Linked DNA regions of Arabidopsis thaliana. The protein of the gene in region 1 interacts with the protein of each later gene in a pairwise test. Each region holds a gene or a part of one and is shown in the gene's direction. Other genes may lie near its edges.

Region 1 (4,104 bases):
TAAAGAAGCGACTAAACAAGCTCTACAATTTACTTATAACCACAGCTATGCTAAACACATATTATGTTCACTCTTTGATTGTTGTTTAGCTTAAAGCTGTGCAAATAAATGTATATAAAAAAGAGATCCATACAGTAGCAGCAGGGAATGATACTAGAATGATTCTTTAGTTCCTGTCTTCTTCAAAGACAAGTTCCCTTTCAGAATCACCAGCCATAACGTCTCTTTCTCGATGCAGAGTCTACCAAATAGACATCTACAGGAATTCTGTCTTATATTCTACCTGTGTGAAACACACAAAAGATTGAAAAATAATGCCTAGCTAGTAAGAGGTAGACTGGTATAGTACTCATCAAGCCAAAAACCACAGGTAGAATATAGTAGATCAAGTGATTGAACTCAATATACCACCTTTTTTTTTCTTTTTCTCATCAATCTGATTAGCTTCCGCATTTGATAATTTGAGTTCAAGACGCTCAGTTTGTTTCTCTGCTATGCATTTTCCTTCCCAATTGTCACCAGTTTCCTCAAGAGCAAACTGCATAAAGAGGGTTTTCATTTATCTCAGATGTGATCAAACAACAACTTACTCCTATTGTAGATGTTGGCTTGAGGCAATTCTCATGTCTGTTATCTCACCATTTGAGATTTCTCTATGTATTCCACCAGAACAACAGTGTCTTTGAAAGAATTTTCTGTTGTGCTCATTATCTGTCATACAACTTTACTTTGTCACCAAGAGGGCATTAAATTAGTTGAAACAAGTGAAATAGATCTCTCTACCTGCAAAGCCACTTCCAAACTCAGAGCCTTTTGTTTGCAGGCAACGACATACATGCTTTTGCCAGTTCAGTCTTCGAGTTTATTGAAAACAGGTGTACCAAAGCCCCTGCATATAAGTTTATTATTAATCAATAAGCAAGCAAAAGTCCGAACAATGAAGGTAATAACACACCACCAACAAAGTTCCCCTTTGTTCTTACATCAACAAATGCGGCTATCACCTTTTCAGCAAACTCGAGATCAGGACACCTGACGATATTAATTTCTATCTGGCACACAAGCAAGGTTGTTGCAAATGCAAATTTATCAAAAAACGACAAACGCTAAGAGAATGCACCAAAATGTGAAGGATATGTAAAGAGTTTCGAGTACATTGAAACAATTCAGGTGCAATCAGAAAACTTGCACACTTCAGTTCCTAAATATGCTCTAAAAATTTCTTGGCCAAAGCTCTAGGAGCCACTCTTTCAATGGTCTCTCTAGATGAAGACCTCCTGCCACTCATGAAGAAACAGAGAGACTTATTTTAAGATACTCTCGATTCAAGTACTAATCCTAACCATAATAAGCAATACACATATATAACGCTTTGAACAAAAGAATAGTCATTACCTGAAGTGATCTGACTATGTACTAATGTACATGTCTTAAGTTGCATCAATTATGTGAAGGCCTAAATGCAACAGACGATTTCATTGTAATCCTACAAATAAAGCACATCCATCGATTCACCAATGAAGTGAGAACCATATGCCACAAAACTATTAATCAAAAATCTGATAACTCCAAGTACTGCAAAAGAATGATTAATTATATGACCATTTCTTCTATAACTCCTAATCCGATATACATAAAGCTAATCAAGGATGATGCAAGTGAAATAACAAACGAAATCAGAGAAACTCATTGAAAGAAGTGAATCCGGTCGGGTTGATCCATAAAGGGGAATGAAAGAAGAAGAAGAAACCATTGTAAATTTCAAAATGTATTGATGGTGGTACGGTTTAATTGGTTCAGACTTCTAGATTACTGCGATTCAAATGTTTCAATCGGCAAAATCCATGTAATTCTTCGCGATTACAGTTACAGATATAACAGAACTAAACAGCAAAAAATGGAAATTAGTATGTGATAATCCATAATTATCTCAAGGAAATGATTTACCTCTAGAAGTTTAAACCTGGATTTTAGCAATCCTAGTGGCGATAATCTCTTAACTGCTTATCAGCCTCATAAACTAATTCACATGATATACTTACGTGGCACTAATAAGTGCTTACTTGGAACACTCACCAGATTACACGTGGCTCACTGTAACAGACTGAAGCTTATAAAAGGCAACACTCCTCTCCTCCCTATCTTCAAAATGGATCTCAATTTTGTCATTCTGTTTTACTTTCAATGAAAACTTACTTTTGGTTATACTTATGTATGATTCATTTATTCATTTAATTCAAAAACGTCACAATCCCTTTTTTTTATTACACATGAAATGAGCTCAACGTACAAGGACAACCATCCGTACCACCACCACCCTCACCATCACCATCACCATCCAAAGAGAGAACCCAATGAAAACAACTCCGGAATCTTATACACTCCCTCACCTTCACCGTCACCGCCAACTTTAAAAGTCAACAAAGACTCTCACGTTATTAAAAAACCACCGTCTCCGTCTTCTTTCTCCTCCGCGGCTAAGCCTCGTCACCCGGTGATCATTTACACACACACTCCAAGAATCATACACACTAATCCTAAAGATTTCATGGCTCTTGTTCAAAAACTCACCGGAATGACCCACTCCGACGAAGATCTCGGCGGTGGTAACGCAATGACCGATCCCGGGGTGGTAAAATCAATCAACCGAACCGTCTCTGAACCAACCGTCGACAGAAAAAACAACCGCAATCGCTGCGGCGGCGGTAATAATTACCTTAGAAACTACTCCGGTGCCGGAAACGGAAAGGGGATATTTTTTAATAACACGATGATAAGTGAAGATAGTGAATCGTCGTCGGTGATAACAACTGAGGAGAACATCGGAGAACATGGACAGGTTAATTCTTCTCTTCCGTATTCAGCGGTGGCTATTCCTCCACAGCCACCGCCTCATCCTCCTCCACCTCCGCCGCCACCGTCTATGTACGACGCTGCGGGGATAAACTACGGTGCTTATTTACCGACATTTCCGATTTTCCCGCCGGCGAATCCAGCTGATAATTTCTTATGCGGTAATCAACCGTTTGCGAATTTTGATGATCCGCTTTTCTTCGCGCCTAATATGAGAAGCTCTTTCTCTTCTTCTTCATCTTCTGGCTTCGATGGCTTGACGGAGTTTCGCGATTTTTAAGTTATCCGGCGTAAATTATTTCCGGTTTTGGAAAAATAATTTGTTTTTTCTTCATTGGAGGAGGTCTTCAAAGGGACTAATAATTTTTGAAATTAGTTAATAGTTATTTTTCCTTTAGTTAATTACTTTATATACTCGAAACAATTTTTCTGTGATCATCTTTTTTATTTCAAAAATTCATTATTTTTGTAAAATTTTATTGAATTCAAGAGTTGGCTCCCGAAATTAAGCTTAATACATACACAAACTGCATACATACATACATACATAAATGTATAGATTATAAGTATATATGTACGTCTGTGGCAACTATAGACGCTCTCCAATTAGTTCTTCTTCTTCTTATTGTTCTTGTCATGTAGAAGGACCACTGGAGCCGCTGGTATACTAAACCACCACTCTCTCAACCGCCTTATTAACCGTTCCGTGCTAGCTCTCCTTGGTGGCGAGTATCTTGTGAAAAGCTCAACAAATACAACCGAAAGCAAGTAGCGTCCCGGAACAAAGGCCATCATCGTCGCTGCGACCACAATCGCAATCGCAAACTTCTGGCTCGCCTGAAATAGCGGTTTCAAAACTGTGGTTAGACACAGCTTTAGGAGAAGCAGTTTGTGTTAAATATAAGAGGGAAGGCTGACCTGAGGGAAAAGCGAGAATAATAAAGCTCGGAACTTGAGAAGAACGATGTTTGCGTCTTGAATGTTCTGTTCGAGCTCCGAGATCCCGTTCTGGACTGCCAAAAGCTGTTCCATTGTGTTCATTGGAGGAGGAGCAGTTACTTTCAGCTCGATCATGAGCTTTTCTCTGCTGAAACATCTTGTGAGAACCATGAAGATGGCAGAGAAGAGAGACGCAAGAGCAAAGACATAAACAAGCCATCCCCTCCAAATTATGAAAGTGGTCAAGAGACAGAAAACACTAGACTTTGTAGGATCATCCCAATACACCACAGATAGAATTAAGTTCCAGGT
Region 2 (4,551 bases), on another chromosome or scaffold:
AAGCCATCCTCATCTCATAGTGAGAGAGTGTGTCTCATTCTTCTATTTATCTATCCATTTATAGATAGATGTGTTGTTAACTGGTTTATGTGGTTTCATTAGTAATAGTTACGTTGTAACTGCTTTATCATTTATTTATTTTTACGACTCCAGAAATGAAGAAGATGAAATCAAAGTTCTGTTTCTACTACCGTGTTACAACGTAAAGCAACAAAACATTTGGTTACGTTTATATAGGAAACCAAAATTGCCAAATTTAACCAAGGCTTGAACAAAACTTTAATCAGTTTCTTGTTGTTGTTGGGCCCAAAGCTACCTGTTTTACCAATCAAATCTGTTCTTACTTTGTCAATTGTCACAAACCTTGACTTAGTTCTTAAATCACTCACCAAAAACTCTGATTCTCAACCCAAAACAAGAAATAAACTTGTACTTAACTGCCAAAGGCTTGTTGAGCCTAACAACAAATATTGGCCCACATAACAGGCCCAAATCTTACAAAGCACCCAACCCTTTTTTTTTAGCACCCATCCCTTGAGTACTTTTTTCATTAATGTTCTTTTCCAAAAAGATATAGAGGCTGCGAGATGTGAAAGAAAAAAAGTGAGATTGCAAAAGAACACGTGCGTCTTCCAAGAATTTTCTTAGGGGTTATATAATATTCAAACATTTGATCTCTTTGATAATTGTCCAACCTTTTCTTTTTACTTTGTGCTTTTGAATGGTCAATCAAACATGGACTAACAACAGTAAATGGTGAGCTACTTTTGTTTTCCTAATTGAAATTGATTAATAATTGGTAAATGGTTTCAACTTCAAACCTCGGAAGAATAATCATCAAACACGTTTGCGCCTCTTTGTTTACCTTCTACAAGGACTTAAAGTTTGACCAAAATTCCTCAACTACATACGAATGAATATACACTGACGTCCGAAAACAAACCATGAAAAGTACTTTACTTCTCATTAAGCCAATGAAGAAGAAAAAAGTAGCAATATACTCGTCCTAAGCTTTTTTTTTTTTGCTATGAATGTTGTTATCATTATAAAAATTAAAAGAGTTTAGCTTTACTGAGTAAGGGCCTATTGTTTTGAATCTTTGGCCAAAAAAGTTGCGGAATCGTTTGCGTCTGTGGTGATCATGTTTATGATCTCTCTGTCAATTGTGTCGATATACGTCATTAGTTATATCTTGGTATTTATTCAATAAAACCATCAAAAACTGTATTTATTCATCATGGAATCGGTATTATATTAAGTTATAACCGTATCTCACCACAACGACATCAACATCTTTATTCTTTGTTTTAGAAAGCAATGGAACGAAGAACAGATTCAAACTACTTCTCTTTTTTCCACGTGTGTAAATAGTCAATAAATTAGATGGTCCAAGGATAAACTCGTATTTGTATATACAAATATCGAAAACGACTTGTAGTGTGTTTAAGAGCCAATCTAACAATTTTATATGTGTGGATTCAAACATTGAAGACTTTGATTGATCAATTCAAAGAAGTATGCATTTATTATATGCACGGATAAAATGATGACGTTCGACAAAAAAAAAAACGTAAACCTCATATGACGTTCGGATAAAAGAAAAACGTAACACGTACACGACGTCATTGGAGAGATCATTCGTCCGTTCGTAATAATCTTCCACAATCCAAAATTCTGTGTTCTACGTCGGTGCATGCATCGTTTTTTTGGTTATTCTACTTCAATGAATCGCGAAAAGCAGAGTGAGTAATTGATTCTTACGTCAGATCACCAATAAGTCTTTCCTTCCTAATTTGCAATATCTATTACAAAATCTTTATTAATGCGCAGTTTCAAAGCACTCTCAATAGCATACATTCTTGTGTAGATCTGATCCTTATCCATATATATATACATTTAATTGATTATTACTCGTGAAAACTCAGTAAACTATCTTGAGAAAATTGCCTATATCTTTTAAGAAATAAGATTAGGGGTACATAAAACATTATCTTACAAATGTAATTATGTAAAATGTTTAATCCTTACGTGTCGTCTACGACACTACCCCTCTTTAACGATTAGCAGAGGGCCGCCTCTTCGTCTTTGACTTCATAGTCTACCATAAATATGTCTATATATTTTAGACTAAACTTTATTATGTTTTCACAAAGATATCTTAACAAACTCCAATCAATTATCAAACAAAAAGAGAGGAACAAAATTCTTCTTCTTTTGGAATTCAGGTGGATCGGTCTGTCTCGTTGTTATAATCAAGATTCCACAAATAATTAGGAATATGGAGGGATATGATAATGGGTCGTTGTATGCTCCTTTTTTGTCGTTGAAATCTCATTCGAAACCAGAGCTGCATCAAGGCGAAGAAGAGAGCTCAAAGGTTAGATCAGAAGGTTGTTCGAAAAGCGTGGAGTCGTCGAAAAAGAAGGGGAAGAAACAAAGGTATGCGTTTCAAACAAGGAGCCAAGTGGATATTCTTGATGATGGTTATCGATGGAGGAAATATGGCCAAAAGGCCGTCAAGAACAACAAGTTCCCTAGGTTCTTCTTCAATTCTCCCTTCTTATTTATTCATTGCTTACAATTGCTATATATTTTATCGAACATATAAAGAAAGAGTTAAGAGTTAGACATGCATATATATGCTTTAGCCAATTCGAATCAATCTCCAATTAATGTGTATATGTATCATTCACATCGGCCCTAGATTGATCTTAACTATTCTGCAATATGTGTTTTGATTAATTTATCGTTTTCATCTTCTATAGCTAGCCGAGATACATGATCTATTTGTTTCTCTATCTAATAATTAATCAATATTTAATATAAATACACTTTTGGTCAACAAATCATAGAAATGTGCTTTTGTGAAGAAATTTGATGATTAATTACTCTTCTAAAAGACTCGATGAATATATGTATATCCTATTCACATTTTATTCTAGATTGATCTTTACTAATTGATTGGGATATGGATATGGATATTGATTTTTTTTTTTTCTAGTCTATGTAGCTAACAATCAGCGATTAAAAATGAAAGTCTTTTGGTAGACATTTTTCTTCTTATAATTTGGATTCGGGAACATATATGTGACAGTTAATTACTCTTCTAAGAGATTCAAAAACAGTTATTTGCATATAGAGAAGTGAAGTGTTTTGAAATATAACTAATGGTTTATATATATAAATGTGCAGGAGTTACTATAGGTGTACATATGGAGGATGCAATGTGAAGAAGCAAGTGCAAAGATTAACAGTGGACCAAGAAGTGGTCGTGACAACCTACGAAGGAGTGCATTCGCATCCCATCGAGAAATCCACCGAAAACTTCGAGCATATTCTCACTCAAATGCAAATCTACTCTTCTTTCTAGTTAATTCTCTCAAAATCTTTTATACCTTATTTTAGAGCCTATAATTCTTAGAGCTCATGTTGTAAATTATTTACAAAAATTAGAATGTTACATTTTACGTGTGTTGAAAAGAAAAACCATGCATGATCTGATGATCAGCTGAAGTTTGTATCCTAATAATTTTTAATAAAAATTTCAAAAATTGAGTGTAGTCTATTACTGATAGCAGCATATAATGCACATATTAAATTTCAAACAACTGTTGCTAAACATATTATTACGGTTATCTGATAAATAGTAATACTAATGGTTAGGCGTTAATAAGATATGTCATAGTCTCTAACTACCCACCGAAAGTTGTAAGAAAACTACATGAGGTATGGGAATCTGAAAGTTAGCTAGGTAAGTGACAAGAAAGTAAAAAATATCAACGGAGAAAATGACTTTACAATTCTTAAAATTAAATCAGTAACAAAATAAACCCATTTTGCTAGTTAATTCTGCTATCAGCAATGATGCTCTTGAAACAGTGACAAGAGAGTCATTGTTCTTCAGCACCGTCGCATCAGTTCTTGAGTAATCCAGTGTCTTTTTTGCATGTAACCAACCATCTTCGTGTAAATGTATGTAATTGAGCCTGAAATCTTTATTATCAATATCAAGATGCAAACCGTTTGGATTTGGATTCAAAAATTTGGATAAAAGCTTCACAATTCAACTTTCAGTTGCTAACACAAAACAGGAGTTACTGAAACAAACACCAATTTGATCTAAACTGTTTCATAAACTTATTATAACCATGCTCCAAAAACGTAGCTCTCTTGACTTACAAAACATTCAAGAATCACAAACCAAGAAGATACTGGAATCTAAGAAGTTTTGATCTTTAGATCCGAGCGGATTCTGCTTCCATATACTTACAAATCCTCTCCATAACCTCTCTTCCTTTAGCGCTATTCTGCATGAATTTCTCTGCGCACTTCTGTTCAACCTTCTCAGCCATTGAGGCCAGAGCCGACAAGGGTTTGATCCGAATGCTTGTCTCCTGGCTACAAACAGTCCAGGCTGATGGATTATCTGGATGCGGATCATATCTTATCCTCTCCTCCACTTCAATGAACTTTTTGAGACTAATGTTCTTTGTTGTTAGCTGGAAAACGAAATAGTTGAGACATCTTAGCTAATCCAAACACTCATCTATG

Evidence for each region. The genes of interacting proteins can lie anywhere in the genome.
Region 2: the proteins of AT3G18360 (region 1) and WRKY75 interact in a two-hybrid assay, tested with the Arabidopsis thaliana proteins (one large-scale study listed by BioGRID).

What each region holds. Positions count from the first base shown.
Region 1 is NC_003074.8:6,299,856-6,303,959, reverse strand, and holds AT3G18360 (VQ motif-containing protein), read left to right. Parts: upstream 1-2,147; 5' UTR 2,148-2,275; coding exon 2,276-3,133; 3' UTR 3,134-3,340; downstream 3,341-4,104. Other genes in the region: AT3G18350 (heat-inducible transcription repressor (DUF639)), read right to left, coding at 3,460-3,690, 3,772-4,104. UniProt on the Arabidopsis thaliana protein: May function as negative regulator of plant defense.
Region 2 is NC_003076.8:4,148,747-4,153,297, reverse strand, and holds WRKY75 (WRKY DNA-binding protein 75), read left to right. Parts: upstream 1-2,096; 5' UTR 2,097-2,278; coding exon 2,279-2,538; intron 2,539-3,192; coding exon 3,193-3,370; 3' UTR 3,371-3,560; downstream 3,561-4,551. Other genes in the region: AT5G13070 (MSF1-like family protein), read right to left, coding at 4,236-4,499. UniProt on the Arabidopsis thaliana protein: Transcription factor. Interacts specifically with the W box (5'-(T)TGAC[CT]-3'), a frequently occurring elicitor-responsive cis-acting element.